4 linked regions of the Arabidopsis thaliana genome follow. The protein of the gene in region 1 purifies or fractionates together with the protein of each later gene. This does not show direct contact. Each region holds a gene or a part of one and is shown on either strand. Other genes may lie near its edges.

Evidence for each region.
Region 2: the proteins of PIP5K1 (region 1) and RAC6 purify together in Arabidopsis thaliana (affinity purification with mass spectrometry, with the first as the bait; one study listed by BioGRID). This does not show direct contact.
Region 3: the proteins of PIP5K1 (region 1) and PRF3 purify together in Arabidopsis thaliana (affinity purification with mass spectrometry, with the first as the bait; one study listed by BioGRID). This does not show direct contact.
Region 4: the proteins of PIP5K1 (region 1) and PLC1 purify together in Arabidopsis thaliana (affinity purification with mass spectrometry, with the first as the bait; one study listed by BioGRID). This does not show direct contact.

What each region holds. Positions count from the first base shown.
Region 1 is NC_003070.9:7,733,061-7,739,289, forward strand, and holds PIP5K1 (phosphatidylinositol-4-phosphate 5-kinase 1), read left to right. Parts: upstream 1-1,600; 5' UTR 1,601-1,992; coding exon 1,993-3,089; intron 3,090-3,183; coding exon 3,184-3,348; intron 3,349-3,516; coding exon 3,517-3,682; intron 3,683-3,896; coding exon 3,897-4,007; intron 4,008-4,087; coding exon 4,088-4,281; intron 4,282-4,370; coding exon 4,371-4,501; intron 4,502-4,586; coding exon 4,587-4,680; intron 4,681-4,948; coding exon 4,949-5,249; 3' UTR 5,250-5,712; downstream 5,713-6,229. UniProt on the Arabidopsis thaliana protein: Catalyzes the synthesis of phosphatidylinositol 4,5-bisphosphate and phosphatidylinositol 3,4-bisphosphate.
Region 2 is NC_003075.7:17,023,319-17,027,676, forward strand, and holds RAC6 (RAC-like 6), read right to left. Parts: upstream 2,549-4,358; 5' UTR 2,197-2,548; coding exon 2,098-2,196; intron 1,978-2,097; coding exon 1,890-1,977; intron 1,804-1,889; coding exon 1,694-1,803; intron 1,620-1,693; coding exon 1,556-1,619; intron 1,130-1,555; coding exon 1,065-1,129; intron 988-1,064; coding exon 922-987; intron 835-921; coding exon 733-834; 3' UTR 519-732; downstream 1-518. Other genes in the region: AT4G35940 (uncharacterized protein), read left to right, coding at 1-275. UniProt on the Arabidopsis thaliana protein: May be involved in cell polarity control during the actin-dependent tip growth of pollen tubes.
Region 3 is NC_003076.8:22,909,364-22,912,576, reverse strand, and holds PRF3 (profilin), read left to right. Parts: upstream 1-1,866; coding exon 1,867-1,989; intron 1,990-2,356; coding exon 2,357-2,494; coding exon of another isoform or gene 2,495-2,560; coding exon 2,561-2,695; downstream 2,696-3,213. Other genes in the region: AT5G56590 (O-Glycosyl hydrolases family 17 protein), read right to left, coding at 3,141-3,213. UniProt on the Arabidopsis thaliana protein: Binds to actin monomers and regulates the organization of the actin cytoskeleton. Can increase the critical concentration (Cc) of actin assembly in vitro.
Region 4 is NC_003076.8:23,703,731-23,708,843, reverse strand, and holds PLC1 (phospholipase C1), read left to right. Parts: upstream 1-1,840; 5' UTR 1,841-2,092; coding exon 2,093-2,398; intron 2,399-2,470; coding exon 2,471-2,667; intron 2,668-2,752; coding exon 2,753-2,888; intron 2,889-2,965; coding exon 2,966-3,142; intron 3,143-3,212; coding exon 3,213-3,539; intron 3,540-3,622; coding exon 3,623-3,778; intron 3,779-3,863; coding exon 3,864-3,950; intron 3,951-4,087; coding exon 4,088-4,387; 3' UTR 4,388-4,613; downstream 4,614-5,113. Other genes in the region: AT5G58680 (ARM repeat superfamily protein), read left to right, coding at 1-597; AT5G58660 (2-oxoglutarate (2OG) and Fe(II)-dependent oxygenase superfamily protein), read right to left, coding at 5,042-5,113. UniProt on the Arabidopsis thaliana protein: The production of the second messenger molecules diacylglycerol (DAG) and inositol 1,4,5-trisphosphate (IP3) is mediated by activated phosphatidylinositol-specific phospholipase C enzymes. Required for secondary responses to abscisic acid signals.

The sequences.
Region 1 (6,229 bases):
TAAAAATCATATACACAAATAAATGATGGCTAGGAATCGAAAAAGATGTGTCCTCGTGGGTTTTTAGAATTGAAAGCGTCAAAAAAGAAACACTAGAGCTTTCAGATTTCAAGTATACAGCGAAGAGTAATGAGATGCCTTGAATATGGAATGGGAAAGTATCTCAGTATGGCGTAGAGTACCAACGCGTTATGGTGTATGAATGGGAAAAAATACATTCATTCAACCATATTTTATACTCCTAATATTTATATTTATTCGTATCGTGTGATTTTTTCATTAATGTGGACAAAAGTTATTGAGTACTTTTAGGTTTTAACTGGGGATCCACCCCCAGCATTAACGTCGGCTTCGAGTACCGAAATAAAATAAACGGTGTAGTAATGACGAAATAACATAAATAAGTGTCGAATAGCTCCAACACGTAGAACAAACGCAAGAAAACAAATGTTAAATGGTCAGTTTATGAAGATATAAAAACAAGGAGTATCAAACTTGAATTAAGGTTTTAAGAACATTTTGAGTGATTCAATTGCTTCTTTTATACAAAAAGTTTAAACTCAGATTACGTACGCCCACGTTCCCTTGAAGTATATTTTTAATTTTTCCTAATGCGGTTGTAATATATTTTTATAAAGATTTTAATTAAATGGTGATCAAATGTGTTAGATACTCTAACCACCACAGCCGTGGTAACTAACCACTGACCACTCGTACGTATAATACAATTTTAGAAATATACATACTTAATATGTGGTGTATTAGGTATTTTTGTAGCATTTTTTTTTGTTAAAATGTTACACGTTTGAATTATGAAGTTTACGTGCACGGTCGCAACTCGCAATATAGTTTTTATGATGTTTGTGGTTATTCGAATGACAATCATGTCCTACTACTAGCACTTCAAATCAAAGTACACGAACCTATAGCCTATAGGATGATGTATGTCTATTTATGCGAAACCAAACTATAAAAAATCTCGATTATTTATCAAATAAAATATTAGACCTAATTTACAAATGGCGGACAAAAACTCAACTTTAAAATGTAAACCTTTGGCACTATCAATATCAACATAAAAACGTTAAAAAAATAACGCAACTTTAGAATTTCATATACTACTTGCATCAACCATCTTCTGTATCTATCACTATCCGTATGGGAATATAAGTATCCTTTAAATTAATAAATCATCGCAAGTAGGAAGAGAATCAATACTCGAAAAGATATAAAAAAAACCCACCAAGACAACGATCATCTAATCACAGAAGAGAACAAAATTCTTAGAATCATAAAAGTAATTAATTAAGTAAGTCATCAAAGACAATCACCTGGAAACTCGCTTCCTAATCAAGATTTCTCGATAATCCTCTCAATCATAATCATTTCTCTACTATCAATAAAATAAGTAAACAAAGGTAGACCATAAACTAATCATTTGGTCTTCTACTATTAACGTATGAAGTAGCCCATACTATATCATATCGCTTTAAATTATACAAAGACAAATTCGAAACAATCTCGAGTACGTATGTATTATTAATTTTATGTTTACACTACGGTGTCGTTTTCAAATTTTTAATAATATTGTGGGTTTCTTTTTCGGGCTGGTGGGCTTTTTGTGTCCGCTTCCCAATACTTTTATTTTATAAATTAAAAATTAATCATCGTCTCTCTTGTGTCTCTCTGTTCATCACTTTTCTTCTTTTGATGTTCTTGTAGCGTCTGTACGAAATCTCACAAGGTTTCTTCTTCTCAGATTTAGAAATACTTGTGTGATATCTTCTGAGTAACCAAATTCTTGATAAAGTTTCTAGCTTTATTCAAACCCATTTGAAAAATCCGGTGGTGAATCGCCGGAGAAATGTGTTTTTCGTTTCTCCACTGAGTTTTTTTTGTTAAGAAATCTGTTAAAACTCTAGATTTCAAACGAATGACATTTTCTGAGATTGAGGAACATTGTGAATCGAGGACTGGAGTGAAGATTCTCTGATGAGTGATTCAGAAGAAGACGAAGAAGAAGAAGAAGCTAGTGAAGTCATTTTAAGCAGCGTCGTTCAGAAGAAGAAGAAGAAGAATCTGCGTTTCGGTGAAGAAGTAGAGAGACGAGACGGTTTGGTGTTGTTAGCTCAATCTACTCCAATGGTGAGATCGAGATCTCAAGGAACGACTCGGCGCGTGACTCCCACGCCTTTAGTAGATGTTGAGAAGCCGCTACCAAACGGAGATCTTTACATCGGAAGTTTCTCCGGTGGGTTTCCACATGGATCCGGGAAGTATCTATGGAAAGATGGGTGCATGTACGAAGGAGATTGGAAACGAGGGAAAGCTTCAGGGAAAGGCAAATTCTCATGGCCAAGTGGAGCTACTTACGAAGGTGAATTCAAATCTGGGAGAATGGAAGGTTTTGGTACTTTCACTGGAGCTGATGGAGATACTTATAGAGGAACTTGGGTTGCTGATAGAAAACACGGACATGGACAAAAGCGTTATGCAAATGGAGATTTTTATGAAGGTACTTGGAGAAGGAATCTACAAGATGGTAGAGGTAGGTATGTGTGGAGAAATGGGAATCAGTATACTGGAGAGTGGCGTAGTGGTGTGATTTCTGGGAAAGGTTTGCTTGTTTGGCCTAATGGGAATCGATATGAAGGTTTGTGGGAGAATGGGATTCCTAAAGGGAATGGTGTGTTTACTTGGAGTGATGGGAGTTCTTGTGTTGGTGCTTGGAATGAGAGTAATATTATGAGGAGTTTCTTTAATGGTGTTGAGAAGAATGATTTGATTGTGGGGAATAGGAAGAGATCTTCTGTTGATAGTGGAGCTGGGAGTTTGGGAGGTGAGAAAGTTTTTCCAAGAATCTGTATTTGGGAATCTGATGGTGAAGCTGGAGATATCACTTGTGATATTATTGATAATGTTGAAGCTTCCATGATTTATAGAGATAGGATCTCTGTTGATCGTGATGGGTTTAGGCAGTTTAAGAAGAATCCTTGTTGGTTTAATGGTGAGGCTAAGAAACCTGGACAGACTATTTCTAAAGGGCATAAGAAATATGATTTGATGCTGAATTTGCAATTAGGAATCAGGTAAATATCTCAAATTTGGTGGATTGGTGTTTTTGTTTGGTGTGTGATGGCTTTCTCTGTTGTTTCTAATGAAGGTTGTGTGTGATTGAATTAGGTATTCTGTTGGCAAACATGCTTCGATTGTTCGTGATCTTAAACAGACTGATTTCGATCCAAAGGAGAAATTTTGGACAAGGTTTCCACCAGAAGGGACTAAGACAACACCGCCGCATCAGTCAGTGGATTTCAGGTGGAAGGATTATTGCCCTTTAGTGTTCAGGTAACTTTTTAGCTTTTTTATTTTTATGAAAAGTGTTTCAATTTAGCAAATTGCTGAATGCGTTTTAAGTTTGATGATGTGGCTATACCCAAATTTGGGCTTAGTTGATAAGATTGTGGACGTATTTGTGATGAATTGTGTTTCTTTTTGGGCAAATTTTGTTTGTAGACGTCTCAGGGAGCTTTTCCAAGTGGATCCAGCTAAGTATATGCTAGCTATATGTGGAAATGATGCTCTCCGCGAACTATCTTCACCTGGAAAGAGTGGAAGCTTTTTTTACCTAACTCAAGATGATAGATTTATGATCAAAACGGTGAAGAAATCAGAAGTCAAGGTTAGTAGTTGTTGGCTCTTCTTGTTTTTGACCTTTCTCTTGTCATATTTGAAAATGCTTGTCTGTTCAAGTTAATTTACTTGATTAGCGGATGGGACACCCTTTTTGTTTGTTTGTTTCTTTGCTTTCACATTACTTTCTCAATCATAAACTCCACTAAGTCTGTGATTAGCTAAAGAAATTTGACCTGAAGTGTTTGTCTTCTTCTATCCAGGTTCTTCTAAGAATGCTTCCAAGTTACTACAAACATGTCTGCCAATACGAAAACTCCCTTGTGACTAGATTCTACGGTGTTCATTGTGTCAAACCTGTTGGTGGCCAAAAGGTATGTGTTTGTTCATCTAAAGCTTCATGGGTCTCTTAGTGTCAAGAAAATTTACTGTTTTGTTTACCATTTTTGATCAGACTCGGTTTATCGTTATGGGAAACTTATTCTGCTCCGAGTATAGAATCCAGAGACGGTTTGACCTCAAAGGGTCTTCTCATGGGCGTAGCACTGCAAAGCCTGAAGGAGAAATTGATGAGACCACGACTCTCAAGGACCTTGATCTCAATTTTTCTTTCCGTCTTCAGAGAAACTGGTATCAAGAGCTTATGAAGTAAGCTCCATGCTTCTCACTATTTTTTGCGTATGCAAAGTATTCAGCTACCTAAACATATGCTAATGCTGATCGGTATTCATGATCAGGCAAATAAAACGCGATTGTGAGTTCTTGGAAGCAGAGAGAATAATGGATTATAGCCTTTTAGTTGGTGTTCACTTCCGTGATGACAACACAGGAGAAAAGATGGGGCTTTCTCCATTCGTTTTGAGATCTGGTAAATTATACATCATTGATCATTCTCTATATGTGTCCCCCCGCTGAAGTCGACCTATCGTGAGATTTATGTCAATCTTATGCAGGTAGGATAGATTCATATCAGAATGAAAAATTCATGCGCGGTTGTCGCTTCCTAGAGGCAGAACTTCAAGACATGGACCGGATTTTAGCTGGCAGGTAACAATCATTGATCCGGGTTTCATTTTTAATGTTAAGAAGTTGACTTCACAGAGGAAGCTTTTTGCATTCATAGCCATTGAGACATGAAGTGGTTGAGAGATTCAATTTCGGATTAAGTATATAATATATGTAGGAATGATTAAATGTGCTTGGCAATCTTGTGTGGGGAGTGTTTAAACAAGTCATGTGGTCCTGTTTGCTAGAAAAGAATCAATCAATTCATGATCCATCAATTTTTGCTTAATATTCAATCTTGTGTTAACAGGAAACCATCGATCAGATTAGGCGCAAACATGCCAGCAAAAGCTGAACGAATGGCCCGGAGAAGCGATTTTGATCAGTATTCATCAGGAGGAGCCAGTTATCCATCACACGGTGAGATGTACGAAGTTGTTCTCTACTTTGGAGTCATTGACATCTTGCAAGACTACGACATAACCAAAAAGATCGAGCATGCGTATAAGTCACTGCAAGCCGATCCTGCTTCGATCTCAGCTGTTGATCCTAAACTCTATTCAAAGAGGTTCAGAGACTTCATCAGTAGGATCTTCATTGAAGAGGGCTAAAGACAAGAAGGCTAAAGTTTTTAACTAACATTCTCGGCTCTACGGAAATGTGAAGAAAGCTGCGCGGGAAGAGTAAAAAGGTAAATCTCAAGGATAGAAGAAAAGCGATTTCGGAATTTTATGTTTATATATTTTGAGATGACCAATCAAGTTTTTGGGTTGGGGAGGGGCTTTATTTATTTTTGTGGTGAGCCGTTTATATATATAATATTTATATATGTGAATATAGATTGAAGGTTTTAGTACATAGGCAGACAAGAAATTACAAGGAAAAAAGGGTTTGGTAAATTCCGAAAATGTGGAATAAAGTAAAGTGTACAAGTAAAAAAATGAAAGATAGTAATACCATTAATTAGTTCTCTTAATCCCATATTCTCATAGGATCCCTCCTTAACCATCCAAAGTTAAGGGGTCCATTATTTTGTTGTTGTTTATTTTCTTTCAATACAACTTTACCACTTGCATAATCTATGAACCTAAAGCAATGTCAATGGTAAACAGTAAATGCTAAAATAGTTGATTAGTAAAATAGTATATGGTCAAAGAAGGAAGAGTTGAATTGGGGTTGGTTTCATGAAAAGTAGATAAAGCTAAACTAGCACACCACATGTCTTTTCTTTGCATTCTTTTTGTCTAAATCTCTTAAGTCTAGTTTTTTTCATATGTGATAGCTTCACAAAGTATAAGACTGTTATTCAAATTAAAGTCTTAGATCTTTTAATAAAAACTAAAAGTCTAAGAAGCCTGAAACGGTTTGTTTATCTATGAATTCATTTAATTACGCTTGGATTCTGATCAACAATCCATTGCATCATCGTTAATTCTCAAAAAAACTAAAACTGGTTTTTTCAGACTTGACATGGTTTTATATTTTGTTTACATTAAAAGAATTTGTATATTTTTTCTTTCCAAAGTAAACAGTAGTGAGTAGACAATTATTGTTTTTCATTAAGTTTAATACTTTCTACAGTCCATATAAT
Region 2 (4,358 bases), on another chromosome or scaffold:
TATGCAATTGCCCTCCATCCATGGTGTTGCAATTCTTGGACGTAGTTGAGAATTGGGTCCCTAACACGATCGAGAGAAGAGTAGACCTCATTAACTCTGAAGATGAAGAATGTTGGTGGTCCATGAAGAAGCCGCCAAGTAGCACCACAGAAATATGCAAACAACTTAATAGAGAGAATGAGATCAAGCAAGTAGGCAATACAATGGGGTGGCCATGTGCTCGCCTTTTACCAGAAGCTGATGTCTACGCCTTACCTTACACAGTCCCGTTCTGATAACATCAAAGAGCAGGAAGTTTTTAACAAGGAATCTGGTCGAGACATCCATGTTCTGGACCAGACAGTTTTTTGGTTTAGCCTTAAAATTCCAAGGTTGTATAAGAAGAACACACTGTTTGTTATTCTTTGCGGTTGGTAACCAATATAGTAATATCAGTATTTCGTCTCAATCTCTCTTGTTCTTATAATAATAGAATGAGAAATCGAAATGGAATTTTCATGTGAAGTGGATTAGTAACATTATCACAATTGATAAAACATTTGTAAATAACTAGACAAGCTTTCTCGGCTATCAGTTAAAATAGAAGTTGAATTAACCTCACAATTCGTTTTGTACGGAACTAAGAGATCACAAATGAAAACGGAAAACAACAACAAAAATGAAAAAGCGATACTTTTTTAAACCACCCTGTCATCCTCATCTCAAAGAGCTTCTTGACTTCCATGAGTGCTATTACAAGATGGAGCAGGCCTTTTGTGCTTTGTTCTTCTTTTTCTTCTGCTTTGGAGGTTGAAGGACCACTCTGATCGCTGCATCAAACACGCCCTTCACGTTCTGCAGTTATAGTCACATTGTTTTCATCAAAAGATGAAGAATCCAACACCGAAAAGATGATTCATGAGATGTCTTTTATTCGTTTACCTCTTGTGATTTTGAACTGCACTCGATGTAAGCTGGCGCTCCAATTAGCTTCTTCAGCTCCTCTCCCTTCCATGCAGAGAGGGAAAATGCTTAACGGTGGTAAAGCTGATAAAATTGCACTGAGGAAATAACTGTATTCTTACCTGAACAGTGGTAATAGGGACAGCACCAGGATGGTCGATGAAAAACTGTTTGTCATCTCGAAGATCTGACAACAACCAAGGTTAGACAATCAAAAAGGCCAGGATCATGAGTTGACTGAAGATCTTGCAAGTGTCTTTTATAAAGGTATACACTTGCTATACAGTAGCTATTTCATTGGAGGATGCTTAAAGGCGTGTGTTATAGGATATGGTTGCTTTATCACAAGAAGTGCAAGATACAAGAAGAAGCCTGTTGACCAATGATATTCTCTGAAAACTACCCTCAGTTTCACCTAACGAATACATCTTGAACATGTACAAGTTTTAACCACAATCAAGAGAAGGTGAAGTTTTATGTCCACTAATGTCATGATATATTATACCAGAGCAGCTTAATAAAGTGAAAAGGAAAATGGCAGTGTAAGCATGGGAATCAGACATATATATAAATAAATGCATAAACAAGGACAAATGTGAGAGGAGGAAGTAACCTAGTTTGGTTCCAACAAGGACAATTGGGACACCAGGAGCATAGTGCTTCAACTCAGGAATCCACTGTAAAAGAAAAGAAGCATCAAAATTTGGAACTCTCAATTGTTAAATAGTCGACCAGTTCGGACGAAACTGACCTTCTTGGAAACATTCTCATAACTAGCCTTACTAATGAGAGAGAAGGCAAGAATGAAAACATCAGCACCACGGTAACTCAAAGGTCTTAATCTGTTATAGTCCTCTTGCCCTGCATAAACCAAAAACATAATTTCGACCGATTCATCAAGGAAAGCTCTCTCACCAAGGATTATGAATTGGATCATCATTCATTACCTGCAGTATCCCACAATCCAAGATTCACCGTGGCTCCATTAACAACCACATTTGCACTAAAGTTATCGAAAACAGTCGGAACATAATCCTGTTCCAATGGAAATGTATACAACATTTTTAGTATGTATGGATCCCAATTCATATATGGCACAATCAGAATCAAATGAATCAGATATCAAAAAAAGGAGGGAGAATGATTGATGAATACCGTGGGAAAGGTGTTGCTGGTATAAGAAATCAGCAAACAGGTTTTACCAACAGCTCCATCACCAACGGTGACGCACTTTATGAACCTTGATGCGCTCATTGCCTCTTCTTCTTCTTCTTCGAGCCAAAATATGTCACAATTTACCAAAAAACAAAAGAGATCAACCTCAGATTTAAACCTGAGGAAGCCAGAAACACCCACAATGTGAAGCCAATTCCTCCGAAACTTCGACCATTATCTTTCAATTAACCATCTCAAAACCCTAGATATGTATAATGTGGAAACAAACCCCCCAAATAGAGAAAATCAGAAATGTGAAGAAGGAAGGAAGATGAATAAACAAAAGGGAACGTGAGGACGATGAATTGGAGGATGCGAGAGAGAGAGAGAACAACAACTAGAGAGAGAAAGAAAGAAGTAGAGAAGAAAGTGATGGCCGGAAATAATTGCCATTGAAGCGTTCGATTAATCTCAGCCATTCAACCTTCCGACTGTTTTGCAATCTTTTTACTTTTTTTACTTCTTCTGTTGTCTTTTAAATAATTACTATTTTACTTCTTCTTCTTTTTTCTGTTTGATTTTTTAGTGTATATTCAAATTAATTTATTTATCTTGTATACAAAAAAGTAAAATAAAGGAGTTGCACATAATGTATTTTGTCTTTGTTGTTTAAAATGCAAATAAGAAAAATTAACACTGGCTAAAATTATACGTGTTTTTAACTGTCTGTAAAATTTCTAGTACGATTTGTTTTACTATTCTAATTCATTTTTTTACTAGTTTTTCCGGATGCTCACCAAATGTGAAAAAATCTCTAAGTTATGATTCAATATTTATGAAACCAATCAGCCAATTGCGGTACAATAAAGTTGTAATGCACTAGTTCTTCCGCATACTCGCCAAATTTATGTTAAAATTTCAAGGATGTTTGATGATATTGAATGTGGTTAGTTGAATTTGCATGTTGGCTAGTGAGAATGTGGTGTATGGACCAAACCTGAACTTATTTGTATGTCAACAAAGTGTGGTAATATTTTCTGCCAAAAATTGCAATAATCTCAACTAACAAATATTTTACCGAGTATGTAAAATGTCAACATTGGTCATATTTGCCTTTCGTGAGGAAAGATGTCTATGCTAATGAACTTATTCGGGTCAACGTAACCTTCCTTGATAAGAAAACCTGCGACAGCGAGAACAAAAACGTTAAGAGTTGGGAATCTTTCACAAACCATGTAATTAATTTGTCGGAAAAAGTTAGCATTTGAAAATGTTCAAAGTAAAAGTTTTTATTTGATGTGTGTACGATGATACAATCACAGTTTTGATAAACCAGGATTCGTGGAGTTGGAATCAGTTTTATCAAATCAACATTCCAAAATTACTAACAAGTTTGAAAATATGCAATGACAAAAAATCATAAAAATCATAAATACACGAGCTACATATGGATGAATGAGAGAGTTAATCTATAAAATCCGACCAAATAACTCACCAAGTCTACGATTTATTATATGGCTTTTAACAGAGTAACGACTGAGAGAGACATATAAGAAGAGCATTGATGAAACTAACCCTGAACATCACGGCGAGTAGTCAACTGGAAGTCCAAGATGATACCCCGGCGCAACAAGCCCGCTATCACCGCCAAAGGTTGCCGTGGATCGTTTGTCGTGACTGTGACGGATCATTTATCTCTTCTCTCTCTCACCTGTAATTGTCAGAAACAGTTTAGATGGCAGAAATTTCTCAAAGATAAATTACACTATAATAACTCTCTTTAACATTATGACTACAATTCCCAAAATCAAGATGTTTCAGAAAATACACGGCTCAATTCGTCAAACAAAAAGGAGAAACATCAGATTCTTACCAAACCCTAAAGCAGAGTCTCAAAGCAGAGTTCTTGATTACGATGATAGTATATAATGAAATCACGGGGAAATTGGGTGAACGCTCTCTGTTTTTCTTTCTTTGCGTTGGTTGTAGTGAAGCTTGATGAGCCTTCCATTTCTAGCTATTTGCTTGGAGAGAAACCTGCAAGAACACTCGAAAAAGAAAACAGAGGAAGATGTGAGTTTAGACAAAGTGAAAATAGTATGATGCGTAAAACTGAAACTGACGAAACTTTAGTGAGAAGAATAGACCATGAAAGTGTTTCGATCAACAACATAAGTCGTAGAAAAGTAAGGAAACATCTAAGAATTCTTACCAATCTTAAAAGCAGAGTTCGGCTAGTGACTACGAGAAACCTTGGACGA
Region 3 (3,213 bases), on another chromosome or scaffold:
TAATTCCACTCTAGAATCATAATGTATTTTATATCTCATCATATTAACTTTAAGATTTGGAGAATTATACCCCATCGATGATTTTAATTTTGTATTCCCATAGAAAGCAATGTATATGCTCTTCTAGAGTCTTTTAATAAGATTTATACTACTTGATATACTAGATTATTTCATCGTTAGAAATTTTTCTTATTTTTTTTTTTTTTTACCATATTTATTTTCTCAATTTCTGGTGATAATTTAAGTTCTTGAAAAAACTTTGACCATCAAAAATATGATATCTTTTTAAGATACATTAAAATAGTCATTCATAAAAATTTCTATAAGTGATTATACCTTTAAATTAAGTTATTTATCAATCAATTTATTTCATAAAATAATCAAATATTATATATTAATATAATTTTAATGCAATATTGTAAAACCAATCAGAATAAAACTACTTTGTGCAAAATCTGGATTTTACATATATCTTGACAAAACTTTTATTTAGGGTAATATGAATTCGTGCAAGATTTGGGTAAAATGATTTCGTGCAAAATTACGACAAAACCATGAACAATTTTTTTTTAGATACCACAAAGATTTAGAGAAAAGAATCTTATAAAAAGAAAAATTATCTTGCAACGTTTTTAGTAAAAATAATAATAACACAATCAAATATATGGAAATCTTATAAAAAGATTTAGATAATAATAACACAAAGATTTAGATATATGGAATCTTATAAAAAGAAAAATTATCTTGAAATGTTTTTAGTAAAAATAATAATAACACAATCAAATATATGAAAATCAAATATTTAATATGGAAAAGTCAATATCTAAAAGTGATAAGATATGTATAACGTTTTAATCAAAGGAGTTAAATAAGGGATATCATATCAATCATAAATGGATTTTAGACAATATAATATTTATAAAATGATATTGAATATAGATGCAACTATTCAAAACTGGAATGCTAAAACATTAATACATGCTTGCATCACCCACCACCGGGTTATGAATAGTTACAAAGTTAGTTATATAATTATAAAATTGGTAATTTATATATTCAATATTGTAATAGTAAATCACAAAAATTAACAATTAACAAGCATGATTCTCTTCTTTAACGATTTTCTTTGTAGAATCATTGAATCATGCGATAGTAATTATAGAAACAAATGATAAGCATTATTCTCTTCTTTATTGAATCATTGAAAACATGCTTTTACCGATCTATACTATAATCATCGATCGGCTCATATTGTTTTGTTTCAATAATAGAAAATAAGTACTATGAACCATGAGTCGATAAGTAAACATGGTTCTTAAAAAAAATGTAAGAATCTCTATATCTACCTTTTAGAACGTGCTGATAACGTGTTATAACCAGAGAAAGAGATAAAAGAAATGAGTGTGTTATTCCATTGAGATAAATGGTTCTTTATATAGGAGTACAAAAAAAAGATAAAACCCTAAAAACATCTAGATGATGGGTTTAGATGAGGGCCTTATAATGGACATCCATCTTTATTCATAACAAAAATCAATTATAATGAAAATCGAAACATTTGTTTTTTTTTAGGAAAAGACCATATTTAATTAAATGTTTTGGTTTTCCTTAAATAAGTTTTCTATTTTTTTATTTATTTCCTCCCTTTTCATTATAACTGGTTGATTTTCTAATACAATTTTCCTCTTTAGAAACTATTAAAAAGAGCTGTGTCTGGCACGTGTCAATCATGTATAAAACAATATATTTGCGTAAATGCCATTGCCACACACTCACTCACTCGTAGTTTCGACGCTATCTCTAGAACATTCCGATAAACCACAAAGAAGAAGCAGAGCAAAAGTAAAGAAGAAGAAGAAAACAAACATGTCGTGGCAGACTTACGTCGACGATCACTTAATGTGCGATGTTGCAGGCAACCGCCTCACCGCCGCCGCAATTCTCGGCCAAGACGGTAGCGTCTGGGCTCAGAGCAACAATTTTCCTCAGGTTAGGGTTTATTTCTATACCGACTACTCAATTCTTATCATCTTGCTGTTTCTGGTTTGGTTCTATGTTGAAATCTGCAACCTTTGGTTTTGTTTAGCTACTAAACCACCAAAATTCAGCAATTTTCAATGTTTGGTTTTGATTTTCTGATTCATATGTTCTTGAGGTTATAGAGTGCAAAAGATGCATTAGAAGAAGTTCGAATCACAAGTTTAAAGCTCTTTTAAGAAGAAAGTTTTGACCTTTGGAAATAGACAAGTTCTTTGTACTGGTTATGTTGTTCATAAGTTATTAAGTTGCTTTCATGAGATGTTTAAGAGAGACTGAATTTGTTTCTCTTATAGTTTTTGTATTGTTGTTGTTTTAGGTGAAGCCTGAGGAAATTCAGGGCATCAAAGACGATTTTACTACACCTGGAACACTTGCCCCAACAGGATTGTTCCTTGGTGGTAACAAGTACATGGTAATCCAAGGAGAGCCTAATGCCGTCATTCGAGGAAAGAAGGTAACTAGACTGTTTGAATATTGTTTGATTTTTGATGAACTGTTGTTGATTTTGCTTCCATTGTAGGGAGCTGGTGGTGTTACCATCAAGAAGACCACCTTAGCTTTGGTATTTGGTATCTATGATGAACCAATGACTCCTGGACAATGCAATATGGTTGTGGAGAATCTCGGTGAGTACCTGATTGAATCGGGGCTCTGAAACTTAAGCTGCTACTATATTCATATTGCTTTATGTAATCTTCTAGTTGTGTCGTGAGAGAAAAACTATTCGATAATCCGACTGTGTATTACCTACCTTGTGATGGATCTTGGGGTTGTATGATTATTTCTAAAACAATATAGTATTGTCTACATTTGTGTCGAGTTGAAATATTTAATGAATGGCAGTGTGGTACCATAGCTTTAGAGTTCATTATTGGTTATGCAGATTGAGATTTTTGTGTATTATAGTGAGGATGATTAAGATCACAAGACTGTGGTTACACAATTGATATCAGACAAGTTTTCAGATAGAATGTCTGTACAACGATTCCACTGCAGGAAGAAAGACAAAATCGTTAGACGGTGTCACAATTTCTAGACCAAACTATTCAGGAACAAATTTTGCTTTTTCTTGCTATTGCTACATTTCTTTCAGATTTCGGTTACAGTGCCTGTGAATTCATAGTTTGCAAACTGAAGAACAACGAGATCATGAGACAGAGTTTCAAAATCCAT
Region 4 (5,113 bases), on another chromosome or scaffold:
ACGAAAGAGAACGCTGCTTGTGCTCTGCTCCGGTTATCTCAAGTGGAGGAAAACAAAATCACGATTGGGAGATCAGGAGCGATTCCTTTACTAGTGAACCTTCTAGAAAATGGCGGATTCAGAGCGAAGAAAGACGCGTCGACGGCTTTATACTCGTTGTGTTCGACGAACGAGAACAAAACCAGAGCTGTTGAATCTGGGATTATGAAGCCGTTAGTGGAGTTAATGATTGATTTTGAATCGGATATGGTTGATAAATCAGCGTTTGTTATGAATCTGTTAATGTCGGCGCCGGAATCGAAGCCGGCGGTTGTGGAAGAAGGAGGAGTTCCGGTGTTGGTTGAGATTGTTGAAGCGGGAACACAGAGACAGAAGGAGATAAGTGTGTCGATATTGTTGCAGCTTTGTGAGGAGAGTGTTGTGTATCGAACCATGGTGGCTCGTGAAGGAGCGGTTCCTCCGCTCGTGGCTTTATCGCAGGGTAGTGCGAGTCGTGGTGCTAAGGTAAAGGCTGAGGCGTTGATAGAGCTTCTTAGGCAACCCAGACAACAACAACAACAACAACAACACTTTGAATCTAACGACAACGAGAGATAACACTTTAGTTTGGGCTTTTTATTAATGGGCCTTTGTAGAATACATATCTTGTTAATTATTTGGACGGCCCAAGCTGAACACATATCTTGTTAATTATTGGTCGATGTGTTTTGCATCAAAGTTGCATTACTTGCGTAGAATGATCTATACAAGAGTAGCATCGAAACAAAACAAATACACGTACTGTCTATTTAGGAGATAATGTTGTGAACGATTTAGAGAACAAAATCCCTATAGAACTAACAAGACAAAAAATAAAAAAGAGCAATAGATTCTTTCACAAACAATAATGGAGTACTACACTGTCAACACAGAAACAAATGCAAGACTAAAACAAAAAGCTAATGTCCCCACAAATAGGAAGATGGGTTAAGGATATGGTTCAACTCAAGATTTTCTTACTTTTTTCAAAACAACATTCAATTTAAGGATGCATTTATTGTATAAAGGTTTTGGTTGGATAAATTTAACATTCATTCAAAAAGACTAAAACAAAAAGAAAATTAAAAACCATGCGATATGCTTTTTTTATCACTATGGAACAAAAAAACAATGAAAAGTTGAAAACCGTAAACTACATGTAGAATTAGGCATGGGCATTTGGGGTAACCGGTCCGGTTTCGGTTCGGAAACTTAAGTATTTCAGTTAGCAACAAAATCACTGAAGTAGGCCAAAATTAAAGTTGGGTTTGTAATGACAAAATTTCGGTTCAGTTCAAACAAAAAACAAATATTTTTGGTTTGGTGGTCCTCAATCAAACCGGCCATCCAATGATGGACTTTCAGGCCAAAAGTTAAAACCGAAATCTAAGCCGGCGAATTGCCAAATTTGAGCTCAGTTGGGTTCAACCAAACTTTCAGTTCAGGTTGGTTCGACCAAACCTCAGTGGCCAATTCGATTCGGTCCGAGTGCCATGCTTATGTAGATTGTAGAAAGCACCACTTTGAAAAGTTTTCCTATAGCAATGAACTACAATCACATCATCCTTAATAGTATTGACCAAAAAAATCAATAATATTGACAATAAATAATCTGTATTGACAATTACATCATGAGCGAAAAAAACAAAAAGGTTAATTAACACATGAGCTGTTTCACATGATGATTTGCTCATCAATGACAAATTAAAATTTGTTGATTTTTTCTTACGGCGACACGCCTACCACCATTTTCTCAGCCATTGGCTACACACACTTCGCCACGTTTTTTTTTTACTTTGGGTCAACGGTTCTGTTTTCAGTCAGCGGCTCTGTTTCGGTTTATAATACTAACTTTATTTCGGACAGCCGACAGATCATTCTCATTTTTCTTTCTTTATCTATTTTTGTACTAAGAATAATTCATAGATTTTTTCCTAGAAAAATTCATAGATTTAATTGGTTCATTGAGATAGAGATAGAGATATAAATGTGTTTCACGAACAAGAACAAACACATCAAGTCTCTCTGTTTCTTGTTTTTCTCTCTCGCTTAACTTTCACAAGAAAAAAAAAAGATGAAAGAATCATTCAAAGTGTGTTTCTGTTGTGTAAGAAACTTCAAGGTGAAATCAAGTGAGCCACCTGAAGAAATCAAGAACCTTTTCCATGATTACTCTCAAGACGACAGGATGTCTGCTGATGAGATGCTCAGATTCGTGATCCAAGTTCAAGGAGAAACACACGCTGATATCAACTACGTGAAGGATATCTTCCACAGACTTAAACATCACGGCGTTTTTCATCCTCGTGGAATTCATCTTGAAGGATTCTACCGTTATCTTCTTAGTGATTTCAACTCTCCATTGCCTCTGACCCGCGAGGTAAAGATTTAGGAATATAAGATCTGTTTACATTGAGAGAAAGAGTTTTGTTTAAAGAGATTTTGGTTTCAGGTTTGGCAAGATATGAATCAGCCATTATCGCATTACTTCTTGTACACGGGACATAACTCTTACTTGACTGGGAATCAGTTGAACAGTAATAGCAGCATCGAACCGATTGTGAAAGCTCTGAGAAATGGAGTTCGTGTCATTGAGCTTGATTTATGGCCTAACTCTTCAGGAAAAGAAGCTGAAGTTCGTCATGGAGGGTTTGAATCTTACCATAAAACCACTTCTTGAATCACTTACAAATTTAGTTGTTTTCTTGATTTGTTTTGGTTATGATCATCTCAGGACGTTAACGAGTCGTGAAGATCTGCAGAAATGTCTTAACGTGGTTAAGGAGAACGCGTTTCAGGTGTCTGCTTATCCTGTTGTGCTTACTTTAGAAGACCATTTAACTCCAATTCTTCAGAAGAAAGTCGCTAAGGTTAGATTCTGATAAATTCATGGAATCTTGTTTAGAGCATAGAGTTTGATTGATGGTGAAACTAAAAATATATGTAGATGGTGAGTAAGACGTTTGGGGGATCATTGTTTCAATGTACGGACGAAACTACAGAGTGTTTTCCTTCACCAGAATCACTCAAGAATAAGATCTTGATCTCAACAAAGCCACCAAAAGAGTATCTTCAGACCCAAATCTCAAAAGGTTCAACAACGGATGAATCCACTAGAGCTAAAGTAAGAAATAAAAACATAAAGTAATCATTAGTGTTTCTTGATGTTTTCTGAGTGTCTTGTGTTGTGACAGAAAATTTCGGATGCAGAAGAACAAGTTCAAGAAGAAGATGAGGAGAGTGTAGCGATTGAATACAGAGACTTAATCTCGATTCACGCTGGGAACCGCAAAGGAGGGTTGAAGAATTGCTTGAATGGAGATCCTAACCGAGTCATACGGTTAAGCATGAGTGAGCAGTGGCTTGAGACTCTGGCAAAAACCCGTGGACCCGATTTAGTAAAGTTCACGCAGCGGAATCTTTTGAGGATATTTCCCAAGACTACACGGTTTGACTCATCTAACTATGATCCTCTCGTTGGGTGGATTCATGGGGCTCAAATGGTTGCCTTCAATATGCAAGTAATAGTTTTAACACTATCCTCTATAGTATATAAGCAGAGATTCTTAATAGTAAATACCAACTATGTTTTGTGTAAATGCAGAGCCATGGGAGGTATCTGTGGATGATGCAAGGAATGTTTAAAGCCAATGGTGGATGTGGCTATGTGAAAAAGCCTGATGTTTTGCTCTCCAATGGTCCTGAAGGTGAAATCTTTGACCCTTGTAGTCAAAACCTCCCGATCAAGACAACTCTTAAGGTTTGGTCTTTGTCTCAGTTTCTGTTTCCTGTTCTTGAAAAGTAAGGAAACATCTTAGCTTCGTGTCTTTGTGGTGTATGATTAGGTGAAGATCTACACTGGAGAAGGATGGAATATGGACTTTCCTTTAGATCACTTTGACCGATACTCTCCTCCTGATTTCTACGCAAAGGCAAGTGTTCATTCATATGTAGAAAACGCAATAAGAACATGGTTTAATATCCCTATGAAGAAGCTAATAAACCCTAATTAGGTTTCTTGGCTATCAAGTCATTGGATATATCTCAAATGTAGTTGTTTTCCTTTCAGGTCGGAATCGCAGGGGTTCCATTGGACACAGCAAGTTACAGAACAGAAATAGATAAAGACGAATGGTTTCCAATTTGGGACAAGGAGTTTGAGTTCCCATTACGTGTTCCTGAGTTATCTCTTCTGTGTATCACAGTCAAAGATTACGACAGTAACACTCAGAACGATTTCGCTGGCCAGACATGTTTTCCGTTGTCGGAGGTAAGGCCAGGTATTCGTGCCGTTCGGCTCCACGATCGTGCCGGAGAGGTCTACAAGCACGTGAGACTGCTCATGCGGTTTGTCTTGGAGCCTCGTTAGCGCTTCGTGGATAATGTTCATTTCATCACTCGTGTCAATGTCGGTACACGTTTTTTATGTTTGTAATGTTAAGGTGTCGGTATACATTAGTCAGTCATACTAAGCCATACGATAATAAGAGATGTGAAAAGAAAAAATTAAACGTAATTAAGATCAGCAAAATTATGAAACGTATGACTTTAATATAAACAATTTGTTTGAACAGTTGATAAAGATAATTTTGTTTAAGCTGTTGTTATGGTCCACTAACCACTAACGCCAATTGCTAAATTATGGCAATTCACACTAATGCGAAATTTCATTATGGCAATTCACACTATGACACTAATTAAAGCAAAACTGCTTCATAATGGCAATTATCACTAAAGCAGAATTGCTTTACAATGCCACAAACCAATTTTCAAATACTGTTTGTTGAAATATCACTATCACAATAGAAAATAAGTAGATGGATCGTCGTCATTGTAGAGCAAACAAAGAGTGTTTTTAATGTTCAACAAACAATGTTATTGTCAAGTTCTCTACGATGATCAGGGCCAGCCCAAAATTATTTCAGAGTCAAAAACACAGCTTTCTTTGTTTGAGTCTTATTGATGGACTAACTTAAGTATCCAGAGTTTGGTAAACCAAATAGATACTAAATTTCAGACACGGTCAGAGAAACAATGGAGAATTTGGGTTGAATCTAGGAAGGCCAATCTTGGTTCCAAGAGACTGAACATCAGC